Linked DNA regions of Coturnix japonica. The protein of the gene in region 2 purifies or fractionates together with the protein of the main gene of each other region. This does not show direct contact. Links are inferred from orthologs where the notes say so. Each region holds a gene or a part of one and is shown on either strand. Other genes may lie near its edges.

The links.
Region 1: the proteins of HDAC4 (region 2) and PPP2CA purify together in Homo sapiens (affinity purification with western blotting; 3 studies listed by BioGRID, with this or other methods). This does not show direct contact. The link is inferred for Coturnix japonica from reciprocal best matches to the Homo sapiens genes HDAC4 and PPP2CA.
Region 3: the proteins of HDAC4 (region 2) and HIF1A purify together in Homo sapiens (affinity purification with western blotting; 4 studies listed by BioGRID and IntAct, with this or other methods). This does not show direct contact. The link is inferred for Coturnix japonica from reciprocal best matches to the Homo sapiens genes HDAC4 and HIF1A.

What each region holds. Positions count from the first base shown.
Region 1 is NC_029528.1:2,266,568-2,272,333, reverse strand, and holds the end of PPP2CA (serine/threonine-protein phosphatase 2A catalytic subunit alpha isoform), read left to right. Parts: intron 1-423; coding exon 424-597; intron 598-783; coding exon 784-873; intron 874-1,306; coding exon 1,307-1,468; intron 1,469-1,904; coding exon 1,905-2,023; intron 2,024-2,629; coding exon 2,630-2,702; 3' UTR 2,703-3,814; downstream 3,815-5,766. UniProt on the Homo sapiens protein: Catalytic subunit of protein phosphatase 2A (PP2A), a serine/threonine phosphatase involved in the regulation of a wide variety of enzymes, signal transduction pathways, and cellular events.
Region 2 is NC_029522.1:3,012,214-3,018,470, reverse strand, and holds part of HDAC4 (histone deacetylase 4), read right to left. Parts: intron 5,174-6,257; coding exon 5,057-5,173; intron 4,976-5,056; coding exon 4,777-4,975; intron 1,351-4,776; coding exon 1,121-1,350; intron 1-1,120. UniProt on the Homo sapiens protein: Responsible for the deacetylation of lysine residues on the N-terminal part of the core histones (H2A, H2B, H3 and H4).
Region 3 is NC_029520.1:49,069,728-49,075,984, reverse strand, and holds part of HIF1A (hypoxia-inducible factor 1-alpha), read left to right. Parts: coding exon 1-32; intron 33-218; coding exon 219-366; intron 367-621; exon of another isoform or gene 622-993; coding exon 994-1,214; intron 1,215-1,402; coding exon 1,403-1,683; intron 1,684-2,193; coding exon 2,194-2,316; intron 2,317-2,492; coding exon 2,493-2,884; intron 2,885-3,683; coding exon 3,684-3,792; intron 3,793-6,257.

The DNA of each region.
Region 1 (5,766 bases), on a different chromosome or scaffold from region 2:
TCTTCTGTGCCATCCAGTATAAAATGTGTTGTTACTGTTCTGACTGTATTTGGTATCAGTTATCAATTTACTGCAAAGGTAAACCTATATAGATTTAGTGCTTCTGAAAAGCCCGTGTCACTTCTTCTAAAGGAAGCACTGCATTTATTTTTGTTTTCTTTAAATTGGAAGTAGCAGTCTCTAAAAATGTGAGGTAACAGCTCGGGGCACAGGGATAGTGAGGTCTGCACTTTATTTCCAGGCATCTGGCAACTGAAGGGTGCCATCATTCAGCTGTGGTTTTTTATTTTTCCTTTAATGTTGTGATTTAATTTTTTCTTATCTTTTAATTGACATATTTTGGGGAGGGGAGGAAAAGCAAACTGTGGTTTTGGGAAGTGCATACTGTCATGCCTCTAAAATATCTTCAATTACTGTGTTTAGGTCCGTTACCGTGAACGTATCACAATTCTTCGAGGGAACCATGAAAGCAGGCAGATCACACAAGTATATGGTTTCTATGACGAGTGTTTAAGAAAATATGGAAATGCAAATGTTTGGAAGTACTTCACAGATCTTTTTGATTACCTTCCTCTAACCGCCTTGGTGGATGGCCAGGTAGGTTGAACTTGGATAAAGTTAAATGTTGCTGGTTGTGAAGGGAGCTGTTAATGCTGTATTCAGTGAGTGCTCAGCTTGAAAGCAATCTCAAAAGTTTTCTGAATTGTTAATACTAAACAGATGTCATTTTCTGTACCAATAAATGCAAACAATTGGAATTTCATCCATCATCATCTCTTTCAGATTTTCTGTCTACATGGTGGCCTCTCTCCATCAATAGATACGCTGGATCACATCAGAGCACTCGATCGCTTGCAGGAAGTTCCCCATGAGGTATACTGAAAATTGTCTTAACTCGCAGTGGGATTCATTATTCAGCATGTGTTGGGTATTTTATGTATACAAAGGCAGAAAATCAGGTTCAAAATGATGTAGCAATTTGAGAATGCCTGTCTTGCCCTGCTAGTCTTCTGGAGGAAAATTAAGGGACGCATTCTTGCCTGAAGTTGCTTTAATATCTCAGAGGTGAGAGCTACTTCTGTGAATTTTTCTTTCATTAAAATTAACTTCCTTGTTAGTATTTCAAGCTTTAACTACACTAACTATTGTAGGTGGCAGGTGGGGTTTTTCTTACGTTATTTTGCCAAGCCTTAAAGAGATGCTGAGGTGTGAAGGGACAACGTGAGTGTGTAGGTTATGTTTTTTGTTCTTGCCTTTTTTTTTTTTTTTGCTTCAATTTATGAAACACTTTCCAAATCTCTTACAGGGTCCAATGTGTGATCTGTTGTGGTCGGATCCAGATGATCGTGGTGGCTGGGGAATTTCTCCTCGAGGTGCAGGTTATACATTTGGACAGGATATTTCAGAAACCTTTAACCATGCTAATGGCCTTACGCTGGTTTCAAGAGCCCATCAGTTGGTAATGGAGGTAAGCAGCAAAGGCTGTGTGTTTAAGCTGTTTATAGTGTAGTCAGTTGTTGTGGTGCCCGAGATGTGCACTTGGCCTCTTTACAAGGTTTGTGTGTGGTTTTCTTCTTGGTTGTTCCTAGAAGTTAACCTCTAATCATCAAAACCAGAACCCACACCTTTAAAACATCGTGTAACTCAGAATTGGTATTTTAATTTTTAACAAAGTAGTGGAGAGAGAAGTCTTGCTATTTTTTAAATGTGCTTATCTAATGCTTACTATAGGATGATGTTATATGCTATGGTATGCAATTCCTATTTTCCCTTTTCATTTGAGAAGAGAAATAGACACAGAGCTTAGTGTTACTTAAAACTGCAAAGCCTATGTAGTTTAGTAGTAAGTTACGGGGTGCAACAAATGAATGTGGTTTTCCTAAATAGTTTATTTTCCTCTCCAGGGGTACAACTGGTGCCATGATCGGAATGTAGTAACAATTTTCAGTGCTCCAAACTATTGCTACCGTTGTGGCAACCAGGCTGCAATTATGGAACTTGATGATACTTTAAAATACTCCTTGTAAGTACGCTTAGAAATGAGGTCTGTGTTGCACATGATTTTAAGATCTAATAAGTGGTATTTTGCTACAGTAACTAATTGTGGTTTTGAGGTAGGGTTTTTACCCTGTACACCTTCAGGAGGTGACCTGACAGTGGAATGGTTGGGCTACTCATATGTAAGAAGCTTTACAGTCAGATATTGGAAACTGTTGTTGCTGACATCTGGACAGCTGTCATTAAGCTCATTACATACAATAAAGTCAGAGTTTAATGAAATACTACAGAAGTATTTCATTTTAAGTTGGATTACCTGAGGTAATTATGCCCACCTTTAAGTCTAGGGCAAGAGACTGACAGTCTTGTTAGGATGTTGACTTCTGGAGCTGCTGTAGCAGTTTTACTAATAAATGAGGAATTGTATAAAGTACTGTGTAAATTAACTCTTTGATAATTACTGGAGGCTCCTAGCGTCTAGATGTATACTGATATCTGACCGGTTTGAGTCGTAAAGCCAAGATTTGTTTCTTCCAAGTGCATAGAAATAATCCATAGATAAGTTTAAAATACTTCTGAAAAAATACCTGCGTGTGAATGGGATGCTGCCATTAATACGTGTGCTTCTCAGTTTGCAGTTCGATCCAGCGCCGCGCAGAGGTGAACCGCATGTGACTCGTCGCACCCCGGATTACTTCCTGTAAAGAGATTATAGACCTGTACAGTATTGCCATGAACCATATGTTGACCTAAAGAAAATGGGAAGAGCAACAGTAACTCCAAAGTGTCAGAAAATATTTAACATTCAAACTTGTTTTCACATGGACCAAAAGACGTGCCATATTCAAATACAAAGCCTCTTGTCGTCAACAACTGTGACCACTTTAGAATGAACCAGTTCATTGCATGCTGAAGCAACATTGTTGGTCAAGAAACCAGTTTCTGGCATAGCGCTATTTGTAGTTACTTTTGCTTTCTCTGAGAGACTGCAAATAATAAGATGTAGACATTAACACCTCGTGAATACATTTAACTTTCCATTTAGCTATAGCTTTATTCAGCATGACTGTAGATAAGGATAGCAGCAAACAATCATTGAAGCTTAAAGAACATTTTTAAAATAAGTACCAAGGCTTCATATTTGTTCTGAAACTTGTTTGTTTGTTTTTGTTTTCAGGGAATACCGTTTAATTTAATTGTATTGATTTTTTTTGTCTGCACTCAGTTCCCTTTTCCACTCTTTGCCCAGCCATTTTGTCCCTTGTAATTGTCGGAGCTTAGTGAGTTACTTTGAACAGAACTGTTTTTTTTCTGTAAAACAATGTTACTGCAGGACGGAGCTGCAGTGTTTTTCATAATAAACTTGTGAACTAAGTATGGAAAAATGTCAAATTCTAATTGCATCTCAGGTCAGCTCTGGTTTAATAAACGAATGCACAGCTGGGTAGGTTTTATAAACCTGGAGAGAAATTTCCACCGGAAATAATGGAAAAAACAAAAATGAGGTGATTGGAATGTGCTGGAAAACTGCGACCTTCTGAATTCTGCCCTGGTGAGATGCCCGGTCCTGCGGTGTGATGTAGCTGAGAACAGAGCTCACTCACCACTGAAATGTTGCTCTCTTTTTTTTTTTCCCCTCTTGGTGCTCTGTGAAATGTTCAGAAGTAGAAAAATACAAATTAACTGATCGAGCATGGCTGTTTTTCAAGTGTAAATCTGAGTTATTTCCATTGTAGGTGCTAATACTTCAGAAAAAATCTGAAAAACTAAGAATAAAACCAGTTTTCTAAATATTAAAGGAATAACTTGAAATTCAGTACTATGTGTATTGCCCAGGCTTCCGTTACAAAGCTAAGTGTGATTTGTGTTAACTTCTGTTTAAAAGCTTTTTCTTTCCCCTAATCTGAATCTGGTGACGATTTTGTTCAAAACACATTCAAATGTTCTGCATTATTAAGGCTCCTGCTTGCAACTTCTTACTGGACACATCTTAGAAGAGCTTAGTTGGCTGTTCGAAAGGAGGCCCCAATGCTATTCAGACTGTTTAAAAGACTCTGGCTTTTGGGCTCAGTGTGACAAAACAGAGGGGTGTTCTTTCTTATACACAGAAATGTGTGCAGGTCTGCCTTCACACACTTTTTTCCTTGCTTTTCTGAGGTTTTCTCTTGAAGGGCTGCGTAATTGTCAGACTTGCAAGACACTTCACAACTCATTAATTCACACCTTTTCTGGAAGGTTTGAGGGGTTACTTTTTTCTTTAGCAAAAATTCTACCTTCAGGTGGAGCTCCAAACTGTTTCTGGAAAGCTCAGTCCTGCTGAAGCGTGACCTTTTACAGGGAGAAGAGCATTCTAAAGCTAATGCTCACGTGGAGGTGTTCCTTTTGTTGTTGTTTATATCTCATATGTTGGGAGCTTTTGATCACTAACAAAAAGAAGCTCCTTTGCTTTAGATAGTAGTTCATTAAGTTCCCTTTCCTCTCATTTGCCTCTTGTCCTTCTGCAGATAGAACTTTGTGCCTTCATTGATACAGTTCTATCAATGATTTGCCCTACTGCCTTTGGCACGATGCATTCCCTGCTGCAGGGGGAAGCAGTTCATTTGTTCCATTTCTGTATGCAAATACCAGCAGTTGTTAGTGAAGTCAACAGAGTACGTTGACAGTCACTCCAGATTTTGCACTCCACAGTTACACTGTGACTGGCCATTTGTAGGCTTTTGTGTTTAAGAATATCGCATTGTGAACAAGAAATGGTTGTTCTGATGGGGATTAGTGATGCTCTTTGCCAGCCAGCTAGGAGGTGAGATTCAAGAGAAGAGAGAAAACTTAAAATAGAAGTCACAGAATGGTAGAGGTTGGAAGGGACCTCCAGAGATGATCGAGTCCAACCCCCCTACCAAAGCAGGTTCCCTACACCACATCACACAGCTTGGTCTCCAGGTGGGTCTTGAATATCTCCAGAGAAGGAGACTCCCCAACCCCTTGGGCAGCCTGTTCCAGGGCTCCGTCACCCTCACTGTAAAGATGTTCTTGCACACATTCGTGCAGAACTTCCTATGCTCCAGTTTCTGGACGTTTCCCCTTGTCCTGTCTCCACACATTGCTGAAAAGAGCCTGGCCACCACTTTGCCCCCCCCCTCACCTCAGATATTTATAGACCTGGACCAGGTCCCCTCTTAGCCTTCTTTTCTCAAGGCTAAACTGACCCAGTTCACTCAGCCTTTCTTCACCGGGGAGATGCTCCAGGCCCTTCCCCATCTCTGTGACCCTCTGCTGGACTCTTTCCAGGAGGTCCCTGTCTTTTTTGTACTGGGGAGCCCAGAACTGGACGCAGCACTCCAGATGAGACCTCACCAGGGCAGAGTAGAGGGGGATCACCTCCCTCAATGTAAGCTTCACTTCAAACTGTGATGCTACTGCATAATCAGGATTTCAGTCTGTTTCACAGATCAGTACTGACCTTTCCTTCTGCACTGCAGAGACTGGTAGATCCCCTGGAAAGGTGATTAAGGAGTAGCTCAAAGTCCTGTATTTTTATCATTCAGTGATGTTTGTTGCCTGGGTTTGTATATCAGCTTGAAGTAAACTACTCTCATTTGTTGAGATCTGTTCTTTGAACTAAGGAATCATTAAGTCAGAATCCAAGTATCAGTACACACACCCATACACAGGAAAGCCTTTGGTAATTTCCTTTTCAAAAGGAGAAGATGGAAGGCTTTAGGACATACAGATCTGCAGGTTTTCATTCCTTCATTCTCTTACTCCTTT
Region 2 (6,257 bases):
CTAACAAAGCTGAAATTCAGGCTTCTCGAACGGCACGCTCTGTAGCTTCTGGGAGGTCTGAGTGAAAGGCTGACTGAGCCGGGGAGGTACGTCACAACGAGCCTATGGACACTTCCAAGTGCTGGCAATGGAAATCCTGGAAAACTAAAACAAACAAACCACTGAACCGAAATGGACTTCCTAACAAAGAAACCCTACCTAGCGCCCCGAGCCTTAACGTTTGCTGCACGGAGCATGCCAGGAGGGAGGGAAGGAAAACGTCTCCAGCGACAGCAGCTCCCAGCAGCCCGGTGTGCAGGGCCAAGCCGAGCCCAGGGCTGGCACAGGCAGTGCACAATGGCCACCATCCAGAAGTACACCATTGACGTCAGCAGCTTGTGTAACTATCCTGCCCTCAACTCCAGTCCGTAAACAGCACTTTGGGGGGCAGGGGGACTTTCTTTAAATCGTCGCTTTCTCCTCACTGGAAACTTGTTTTCTGCTATTTCTTTTTTTTTTTTTCACCCAGCTCTCAGTAGTTCCGTCTTCTCATACGACAGAACAGTGAAAATATATGGAGAAGTCTCCACCATAAATTAAACTGCAGCAGCCCCAGAAGGTATATGTCCACTGTCTGACTTGTCCTCCTGAGCCATAACCCTACCTGTGGGCTTGTTTTGTAAAGAAAGCCATGACTTACAACACCAACAAAAGAGCCAGAAAAAATATCACACTGCTTATGAAGTATTTCCCCTTTTCCTTGAAGCTTTTTACCACTATATAAGTCAATCAACGGACTTTGTCTTCTGACAATATCTCAGTTGGGGCCAGCTGGCACAGCTCTGGTCATTGGATCTCACCCTTAGAAAGCTAGCTTTACCTTCTGATGGGCTGAAACACCAACACAGACTTTACCTTTTTACATCCATGCCTGAGCAATCACCCTAGAGCAGCTTTGTTTGAGCTTTAGCCATAACATTGGGATGCCACGATATCACGAAAAAGAGGCTCAAGGATGCAGGCCAATTGGTTACGGAGTCAGACACCACATACGTTACAACACAAGAAACCATCAAAGCACTGGCTTCTGCTGGAGTCGATGCCATATGAGGAAGAGAGCCTTTAAAAGTGTTGTGCCTACCTTGTTGATGTGCAGTTGCTGTTGCTGGAATTGCTGTTTGTGTTTCTCCAAGAACTGCTGGTGCTGCTGCTGGATCACTAACTGCTGGAGGGCCTGGGCGTTCTGGGGAAGGGGAGCAGACTGCGTGCGCCCCAGTGGGCGATGCTGCCGGAGTTTGTGTATTGAAGGGGAGACCCGTTCTCCACCAACCAGAGACTGTGCGTGGAGGGGCAGTCCTGAAAGATACCAGTCTGAAGATAATATGGAGGAAAAAACAGCAGAGAAGAAAAAAAAGGAAGAAGAAAGGAAGGGAGAAAACGGCTGTTGAGTAACGCTGATGGTGACAACGATTTATAACGTTAAAACCAGCCACCTCACCACTTACAGCTGCGGTATCCTTAAAAGAGAACAGATAACAATTAATGACCACTGGATGGAATAACACTTTTAAATTCTCTGCTTGTCTGCTTTACTTAGCAACCCTAGACGATATTTCATCCTTAAATTCAGCAATATTTTATGGACCCTTCCGTCACTCAGTGGATGACATCAATTAGATGCACAGTGGTGGCTTTGAGGAGAAGCTGAAGTCTAATGACTTGCCTTGATGCAGCAAATAATTCCAGCTTCATTTCGAGGACAACATCAGCCCTTGCTGCTGCCCTGCAGCACGCAGCAGCTCTACCTTACAGGATGTTCTCAGACGTGCTGAAGGACGACGGCTGATGATGGAGCTGGTTCTCTTACTAGATCATGAAGGGAAGCCCTCGGCTGTGCTATAACTGCTCTGTAGAAATGACTAAGGATGAAGACATTCATGCGATAAACTGCTGACCATGTTTGCTTTGGAAACACATGAACGCACTTCAGGAATTTGAGAGCCATAAGTTTTCATTATTTCTTTAGAAACAAGGTAATTTAGAGGATAAAGCATTAAAAAGATTTCCACCACTGTCCTGCATATTCACGCTAATAACTTCACTAAAACACAAGGCTACTCTGGGATGTCATGGGTTACTCATTCACCCCTGGGCAATTTGGATGTCTCCTGGATGACTACCATGTGAAACCTACCCGAGCTCTTCTAAGGGTATATCTGCAAGAACTGTCTTTTTTTCAGCTGTTCTTGGTAAGCCAGTTCTTGCTCTGCTCTCTTATACCTTTACGTGCTTCTTAGAAAGCTGGGATGTGAAAACACATGCAACACAAAGCCAAACCCAAGGGTGGAGTAGCTCAGGGTAAGCCTTTGCAAGCTACACCCTGGGACTGAAAGTCATAACTAGAGTGAATGATCGCCTCCCCAGTGTGGATAAGGCTGCACATACTTCTGGGGAAGAAAGTACCTCATTGTACAGAACAGTAAAAACTGTTCAAATAGTAACATGCAAAAAAATGAGACTTGGTTCTAGGCTTGGAGGGGTAGAAAAAAAAGAGCAAAGCTGCACAAAAGTCTGCAGCCAGCTGAATGAAGCAGTTCAGAAACACCTGCAAGCTCCTGGCCCAGGACAATGCCTCCTTGTCCCGTTAATTTACAGAACTGCCCTACATGGAGGAAACCAATTCGTTTAGAGGCCTCTTTTGTTGGGCCAGTTAACCCTTTGCTCTTCTGAAGAGAATCATTGAAAAGAATATCTTATTTTATAACTATGTGTGTGCGTATATGCAAAGTCCAAGTTAGACGGTTGAGGAAGGGATCCTACATGTCTCTAGAGGACATCTTGGAAGACTACTTGTCTCCAAGTGAATGACCAGAATCCTCCTTGCAAAGGTATCCAAGCAAGGCACACTGGTCCTGCTTGGCATATACATGTCAACCAGATCCAGAGTAATCTGGAGCAGGAGCAATGCCAGATCTATGTAGCTCTGCTCTAGTGGGGGATGCAATTGCACTGCCTAGATTCTATTACCACTTTCTACTCAAGGTGAACCACTTATCACGCTCCAGATAAAATCCAGAAATTAGATTTGCAAAATGAGCACCGAACTCATAAAATCAGCACACCACCGACCAGCAGGGACTCTTTGCTTCCCAAATCCCCACGTCTAACTGCATGGAGCCAGCATGCTGCGTGCTGGATTAATTTTGCAGTAGTCAGGAGACTATCTCCACAGCTGAAGGCTACCAACAGAATACTAATAACTCCACTATGCTTCTGAGGAAGTTGTAAGTACTAACTGTATTCTGGCAGACAGTCCATTTAGGGCTTTCGAGACCATGTGTTAGCTTGCTCTGTTTCAGTTGCTGCATCTGGAGTGTGTGCTTCTTGCTGTTGCTCTGCTGTATAGTGACTATTTCTCCTCAGTGTCAGTTTGTTACAAGTTGTACTTGCTCTAAAAACACCACACACTGCAGGTGGACCAGAAGGAATACACATAATAGACTGTAAACAGATGGAAGCTTTGAGAGAGGTGGGATAGGAAACAGAACAGCACTCCCTAAGAGCTCTTTAATGCAAATACCTGCACAAAAGGAGAAAAGTTTTGGTGTTACAGTGAGAGAAAAAGTCTTTTGCAATGACTTTTCATCAGCAGCCCCCAGACAAAGAACAACTGGTGAAGAGACCTGCCATGATGCTGGGCACAGCATCACGTCACAACAACAGTGACAGAATGCAAAGGAAAACTACATCAAGGCTCAGGGAATCTCTGAGAGTGCTGGTTAAACATCGCACTTCTGTGCCTCAGATTCTCCACATGTACGTGCTTATCACAACCCCACGTACATTCCTGGAATTCAAACTGAAAACCAGACACGATCCAAACGCAGTGCTGTAATGTTTCAGCAATCAACATCTCTCAGTAATTTCAGAGAATAGAACAGAATCTTTTGTCTTGGAATGGACCTTTATAGCACACCCAGTCCCAACCCCTGCTATGGGCAGGGACATCTTCAAGCAGACCAGGCTGCCCAAAGCCCCATCCAGCCTGGCCTTAAGCACTGCCATAGATGGGGCAGCCACAGCTTCTTTGGGCAGCCTGTGCTCAAGATATTTTCCGTTAGAAATGGAATGAAAACAATAAAAAATCAACAGGTCTGCAACTTAAGCAGAACATCCTTTGAGTCCCGGTACTACACACTGTAAAACAGAAACGCGGCCTGCTAGGAAATATTGCTTTGAATCAATTCTATTTATAGTAATACGCCTTCCCACAGGTACTTAATTCTGAAAACATGACACAGGGAGTGATTCAAAGCAATTAACATGCTGCAAATGTAACATATACAAACAAATACAATCTGGTGGAACACAGTTGGTTTTGCCACATTTTTGCTATTTGTAATAACCATAAAAAGCCAGTATTTTAATCTGTGATTTTCTAAATGCATGCTTCTGTTTTACCTGGAACAGAAACCATCAGTGATCAACAGGAAGGGCAATCACAAGACACAACATTTTTGTTGCCTATTTACAGTGGCCAGAACTCCAAAGATACTCTTTAAATTGTTGCATGCAGAAGAAAAGCGTAAGCCTGAAAGTACACGCTATTTAATTTCATTCTGTCAAAATGACAAGGCATCTTCCTCCTGCCTATGGATGATGTGGCTACTCTAGCTGGAAACTACCCATCATATACATTGGAGAGCCTACAAATGTGTAAGTTAAACCTACGAAACACATTGATAATGTTCAAGGTACTGCATGTCAGGCTTTGCACATTATCTACCATGTGCTCACCTGTGACTAAGGGAGTTTGTGCAGTTGGCTGCTCCAGTAAGACCATGTGCTGCAGAAGAGGGTTGTGTGTGGTTCCCCCATCTCTTTCCAACGCTGTAGTGCTCAAGTAGGGAGTGAGGTGGGTGCCAGGAAATAAAGAGATCCGCTGCTGCAAGGCTGGGATAGCAAGTCTCTCAGCATCCTGCTGCGCGGATCCTCCCTGCAAACACCCAGGTGATGTCAGTGTGGGTTAAAGGAGAAATCAAGCACCAATTCAAAGCCCATGTTCCCCATCACTTACACTGGAAGGGCCGGTGGCAGGCAGTCCTAGTGTGATGTTGGGCAAAGAAGGAGACGTGTAGAGTGGAAGCTGCGTTACGGAGCCTTCGCGATTCACCAGTCGGTGAGCCAGGCTGGTCTGCAAAGAAAAGGAAAACGCTGTCCCAGTGAGACTGCACCACCCATCAGAGAGGGAGGACGCTGCTCAGCGCTTGTGAGGGCCCAGCAGGAGAGTACAGAGCAGGAAACTTCACTTCTGACATTGGGAATACTGAAAGAGGGAGGTAAGCTGTGCTTCAAGACCCAGCCTTACTTCTCTTTCCATAGCGTTTGCCCTTTTAAAGCAAAAACAGATTACCATAACAATAAGAAAGGCATTACTGCAGTGGTTGTTTTCTTTAGCAAATCACAGACAATTTACCCTATTTACCAGCATGCTTTAGCTGAAATCAGACTTCGAAATTTCATCAAAGGGCCTTTTTATGTTGCCATTCCCCGATTTTCAGGCTGAAATGTAAGATTTACTGAATTACCTTGTGGCCATTTAAAGCAGGAGCACTTAAGTAAAAACACCTAATTACAAAATGAGATTGATTTGAAATACTTGGTAGAAAGCCCATTATAAAAATTACATTATTTTAAAGTGCCTGATTTTTCTATTAAGAAAGAAGTGTTCCATTCACTTAAATCACCTTCAGTAAAACTTAAAAAAGCAGCTTAAATAAACAACTTAAATCAAACAGCGCTTAGATTTCAGGAAGATTTGCTATGGAATATCTACTGTTTTAACTCTGTTGCTGCTGTGGATAAGAAAGTGATAATGGTTAATCTAGTATGTATCAATGACACACATTATTCCCATAGCAAAAGAGAACTGGATAATGGATTTGTACATTTCAGACCTAAACAGTTATGTGAGGAAATGGGACTTGGCAGGTTACTTCCTTGATTGCAAGACTCGGCCAACTCTGGGTAACAAAAACCTGTTTTTCCCCTCAAAAGGTGTAACGTGGTAACATCACTACAGCAACCACTGGGGTGAGGGAAAAAAGGGCAGTAAAATAAGAAAAAATACTGAAAAAAAAATAATGCACAGCAACCTCAAATAATGCACAGCAACCTTCAGAAGCAATCCCGCCTCCTTGGTTCACAGCAAACCTGGTGGGCCAGTTGATGTCTCTAACAGGAGAGCCCAACTCTATGAGCTGCGAGTTAGTGATGCC
Region 3 (6,257 bases), on a different chromosome or scaffold from region 2:
TTCTGATCATCTGACCAAAACACACCACGACAGTAAGTGAAAAAGATGTATTTAATGCTCTCAAGTACAAGAAGTGAGATAGAGAGCCAAGGGAAAGCCACAGAATAACAAGGGTTTTCCTTTTAATTGCAGATATGAATCTGCAGAGAATACCTAGCTTGAAAAGGGATATATTTTTTTCTGCCTGTAATTAAAGCTGATGTCTATTCTGGTTTTAGTGTTCACGAAAGGGCAGGTGACAACGGGACAATACAGAATGCTTGCTAAACAAGGTGGCTACGTCTGGGTTGAAACTCAAGCAACTGTTATATACAACACTAAGAACTCTCAGCCACAGTGCATAGTATGTGTAAATTATGTGTTGAGGTAAGTTAAGTAGGAATTGCTATTTTTGTCATGACTTATTTTTTTTGGAAGACTGAGTCAGATTCATCTTTGACTTGCTAAGAATCCGGTCCCTATTCAATATGCTGCAGTGCTATCTGATTTTCCTACTGATTAGCTTTTTACTTAGAATGCTGCTAGTCGTAGGATTAGGATTAAAAAAGACAATCACTTTGTAGAGATATCAGTGGGGAGATCTCTGCAGGCAAACAGAATTTGGGCATTGTAGGCACTTACCTAATTTTTGTCCACAGTCTAGAACAGTTATACTCACTGGTAATTCCTAGTGATGGAGTCAGAGGTATCCATTTATCTTTTTCTTCCTTTGAATTCTTTCTACTGAAACCTTAAACTTAAGGCAGACTTGAAGTATTTTTCTGCGACAGTGGAATAGTCCTAAGTTAGTTTTTCACAGCTTTAGTGAACGTACCAGTATCAATCCATCAAGATATAGTACCTTCATTTAAAAAAAGTAGAAGACTTTTAAGGAAAGCCCCGAAGTTTGTTTTACTTCTTTTTCTTACTTTCTTGATGCTTTCATGGCAACTTAGAAAATCGTGAGGGCTGAATTCTAGCTGGTTTTTAATCATCTTCCTTTCTGTCTGGCAGTGGAATTGTTCAGAAGGACTTGATATTTTCCCTTGGACAAACGGAGTGTATGCTGAAACCAGTGGAGTCTCCTGAAATGAAAATGACCAAAATATTCAGCAAAGATGACCTGGATGATACCAACAGCCTTTTTGAAAAACTTAAGCAGGAACCAGATGCTTTAACTGTGCTGGCTCCAGCTGCTGGAGACACGATTATCTCCCTAGATTTCAGCAGCAATGGTGGGTGTGTGTTTAAATTGGAGAGCATGCTAATTAGTAAAGTTTGGTATTTTGCAGTAAACTTTGGAAAATAACTTCCCACTTTCACTTGCCTAGTGATCTCTCAGCCACTGTTTAAAATTTAATGAGGTCCGTAGACACGCTCAGTATTTGTTACTTAGGTTGATGGTCTCTTTTAATTTTTATAGAGTCTGATGAACAACAATGTGATGAAGTTCCTTTGTATAACGATGTAATGCTCCCCTCATCCAGTGAGAAATTGCAGAATATAAATATGGCAATGTCCCCACTACCTGCCTCTGAAACTACAAAGCCACTTCGTAGCAATGCTGATCCTGCGCTCAATAGAGAAGTTGTATCAAAGCTGGAGCCAAACACAGAGACACTCGAACTTTCTTTTACCATGCCTCAGGTGCAAGAGCAACCAACCAGCCCTTCTGATGCAAGTACCAGCCAAAGTTCACCTGAGGTTAGTTACGTAATTTGGATACGCTGTCATTAAAATGTATGTGCTGTGTTGAGGCTTGTAGAACAAATCTAGTCAAAGATGCACCCAAGGCATGAATTTAAAATTATTTCTAGCTTGTGACTTAGTTATGCTCGTACTCTAAGGAAAAATGCACTTTCACAGGGAGAATTAACTTTTCATGGAAGCGAGTCTCGCAAATATGTAGAATAGTACATGTGAAAGAAAAGAAGAGCTGCAGATTGGTCTTCCTAGAAAAGGATGATTCAGAGTTGGCTTCTGTAAATGGAAATTAGTTACAGTAAAGTACTGCACAGGCTACTTCTGTGTTCTAACTAATCAAGTGCTTCCCAAATGGGTAAGCAAACGTGTATGTTTTCCTTTCCCATTTTAGTTCTGTGCAGCCATAGATTGCAATTCGTTTTGGCATTCACACATATTTCAGATCTGTAGATACAATGCAAAATAACGTAATGATAGAAAGTTAAAACTGCACTCAAAATGTTTTCACAGCCCAGTAGTCCCAATGACTATTGCTTTGATGTGGATAATGACATGGCTAATGAATTCAAACTGGAATTAGTGGAGAAGCTCTTTGCAATAGATACAGAAGCAAAAAATCCATTCTCCACTCAGGTAATGTACATGAACTTGAAATTCTGTATCATCTTAGTGCTCTCGACATGCTTCTCATTTTGTTAAATGCTTCCAGGAACCTAATTCTTCTTTTACATAACGCTTTATTAAAGATAAATTGCAGAGCCATGAGCTGAGATGTTCTGATGTAAGTTTTAACCTTTTATGTTCTCCAGGAGACTGATTTAGACTTGGAGATGTTGGCTCCTTACATCCCAATGGATGATGACTTCCAGTTGCGCTCCTTTGATCAGCTATCTCCACTGGAAAGCAGTTCTGGCTCTCAAAATGCAGCCACCATTACCATACTTCAGCAGACTCAGACACCATCAACGGCTGCTGATGAAATAAAACCAGTGGCAGAACGTGTGGATGATGTGAAGGCACTAATTGTTCCATCGTCTCCTGTCCATGTAATAAATGACACGAGTAGTGCCCCAGCATCACCTTACAGTGGGAACAGGAGTCGAACCGCATCTCCAATCAGAGCAGGAAAAGGAACATTGGAACAGACAGAAAAATCTTGTCCAGGAGCACCCAGTTTGATAACAGTCACGCTGAACAAAAGGTATTTTAAAAGTGAAGCTCAAGCCCTACTATTTATTCAAGAAATTAGACATGATAGACTTTGAAATACTGCAACTATTGTACATTATCTTCAACGTTCTACTTCAAAGTAGACATTAATATTTAAATCCAGACCATTTTTTAATATAGTAAGCTACTCTAATTTCTCAGCAGCTTTTTTGCAGTAGCCTTTACATAAACATCTCATGCAATATGCAGCTACTACATGCCAGCTGTGTTCATAATTTTGTTCCGCTCTTGTATGATGTGTAGCCATTTAAAAAGACTGCAGCAGGCTCTACCTACATGGTATTGCTGATGCTTTTCTTGTCACTTCATTGAGCTGAGAGGCATCCACAGTCTGTGCTACATGTACTGCTTTTAAAATTGGCTATAATTCATGATGGTGGACTATGGCATACGTAGCATGTATTTATGACGACCAAATTCTACAGTATCAGAACATCAGACCTTTAACGCAGAAACTCTGTACACAAATATTCAGAAGACTTTTCCTCAATCTTCCCTCCTTTGTGTAGGAAATGAATTACTGAACTTTATGCTTTGGTTTGTTTTTAACAGACTTTCTTTTTTTGGCTAAAACTCATTCAGAGCTTCATAGAAAGATGAAATGCTAACGTTTTCTATGTTCCTAGGCAATAACTGTTTAAATTAGTCAGTTACTAAAGAATACTAGTATAGTTCTTAAATTCAGTTCTGTCATATTGTATTTGTCCACAAACGAAGAATGGCTCGAGAACGGTAGAAACGTCTTAACAGCCTGAATCGATTTTTCTTAGATCTACTGCAATGGATGAAGAACTAAATCCAAAGATGCTAGCTTTGCATAATGCTCAGAGAAAACGAAAAATGGAGCATGATGGTTCACTTTTTCAGGCAGTTGGAATTGTGAGTTTTGTTTTACCGTTTTAAAATATTCACTTTTAACCTTGCAATTTCTGACACGAGGCTTCAGTGCAGACTCCAGAGTTTAGCTGTTGGTTTGCAATGGAACCTTGGGATCAGCGATAATAACTGTTTGGGCATGAAATTCCCTCATATATGCAAATATTGTTTTAGTTCTTTTACTGTTGGTTGTTTCAAAGTGCCCTCTGTACCTAAATGGATTTCTTGATTAGATAGAATATATTTGTGAACATACATGCGAGGAGGCATGCTCTGTTAGCAGAATATGCACAAATGTAAGGCAGAATTGTCATGTTTATTTCACTTCCACTTTCACACTCAGTTTTCATACTTGTGAGTACCAAAGTGTTCTTACACTTCCTATTGTTTCATCTCTCTTTGAGTCTGAGGTTCCTGTTTTGAATTTGGTCAGATATCAATACCATCCCAACTACAGAACGTGAATTCATAGAATCTAGCAAACTTGCATTGCTACCACATGCGTTGTTTGTGACTGGGAGCACTGCATCATTGTCCATCTAAGCTATTCAGAAGGAATTCTGTAGGTATTCTAAGGCTTCTGTCCCTTCATTGGCACCATGCAACTTGTTACTTTCTGTAAGGGTATTTTGTCTCTACGATCTTTGATTCTTACTGGCATTTTTTTTTTAGTAGCTTGAAATCCTGGGCTTTGCAATGATTTGCATCTCTCAGTTTCATTGCAAATTCCCACTTCTCTTAAATTTCTACATAATAAATTCTTGGTTTTTTTTCCACTGCATCGTAGCCTTTGATGTTGTTTCTCTAGCAGTCAGTCCATCTCCTAGATGTAATCATCCATTGTGTCTTACAGAGCAGGGTTACCTGTCCTTTGAATGGTTCACTCAAGCGAGAAGTCACTCTATGCAGTCTTAGCATCTCATCTGTGACAGCTGAGGAAGCATTCATACCTCCATTCTTTATTTTTTTTGCCATGGGGTTAGCAGATTTAAAACAACAACAAAACAACAAACGTACTTATGCTATCAGTCTTATTCGCTCAATGCTTTGCACTTTCATGCATGCTGTGCCATTGCTTTCAGTAGCTCCTAAGAATTCACAGCTCTGCTTCAAGTTTTATTGCCTTCTGTTGCCTTTCTCATGCAGTGGTGCTATGGCTGTGCTACAGTGTTGCTGATATGCATTTCAAGGTAGCAGAACACAAGCAGTTCTATATTAACTATTGTAATAAACACAAACTTACATGTTGAGAGCCCTTTTAAAGCTTACAAGTTTGTATTTCACCCTTTGCTAAACCTTCTTTTTGTGCCTGATGAGTGTTATAAATATTTTGACAGTTTCTGCATGGTCAGAAGGTGAATTTTCCACATAGTGGGGGGTCTTAGTGACATTATTATAAGCAGGTACTTTTGTCATCTGGTTTCTCTCTCCAGAGTGGATTTCTGAGTGTACAAACTAGGCGTTGCAGACACACAGAAGAAAAATTATATTAAATCCAGGCTTGTATCACACAGAGATTTGGGACTATGCAAAAACTTGCCATGACTTCCATGGCTGTATAGAAGCACTATTAATTATTGAAAAGAGCAAAAATAATTGAAGACAAAATACAACTTCAGGTTTTCTGGAAGATGAGAGAATTAGGCAAAGACAAAGTGTGCTATAGTGATATTAGGAAATAGTGATACAAATAGTTAAAGCAGAAAAAAGTGAGCTATTTTTCTTCATATGGAGGGCTGCAATGCATTCCCAGTAGTAGAATGGAACAAAAACCAGTACAGGAACAGTACCGGTGACTTGCTATGAATGCAGCTTCTGAGTTGTTTAACTCCTGTTACACAGCTGTCTTTTGACTTGCATGCATGTTTAATAACCTGAAAAGCTGTCCCTTAATGGCAGGATTCTTAAGTACTTTTTCTTCTTTCCCAACAGTCAGCATTACTAACATGGCAAAATTTTGCAGATTCAACCCCTTGTTACTAAGATGGTGTTTTTTCCTTTCATCCCATCTTTGTTTCAGTCGAGGCCTTTTCTTATTCTAATTATATGGAGTTTTCCAGAGCTTTCTGATCTCTACATCTTGGATGCTGCCATCAAAACAATATGCTAAGGAGCTGTTCTGCAATAGAACGGCTCTGGACTGCATTCCCCTTAAGCCTTAGGTCAGTTGGGTTTGGTGGCAGCATCTGGTGCACAAGCAGATTTTACAACTGAGATGTAGATAAAATCCACTGAGCGAGGTTCCTGACTCTCCTGTTTACACTATTAATGCCAGTGCAGAAAACCATGAGACTCCAATGGAAAAATGTGATAGTTATTTGTATGAGAGCAGTGGTAATCAAATGGGCATGTATAGGTACCTGTCCGTGCTAATCTTGAGCCTGGTAGCTGGTGATAACCAGGATTCAGTAATTACTTTGTGCAAGGGAGGTAAACTCTGGAAATCTGATCCCATTTTTTTTTTTTTT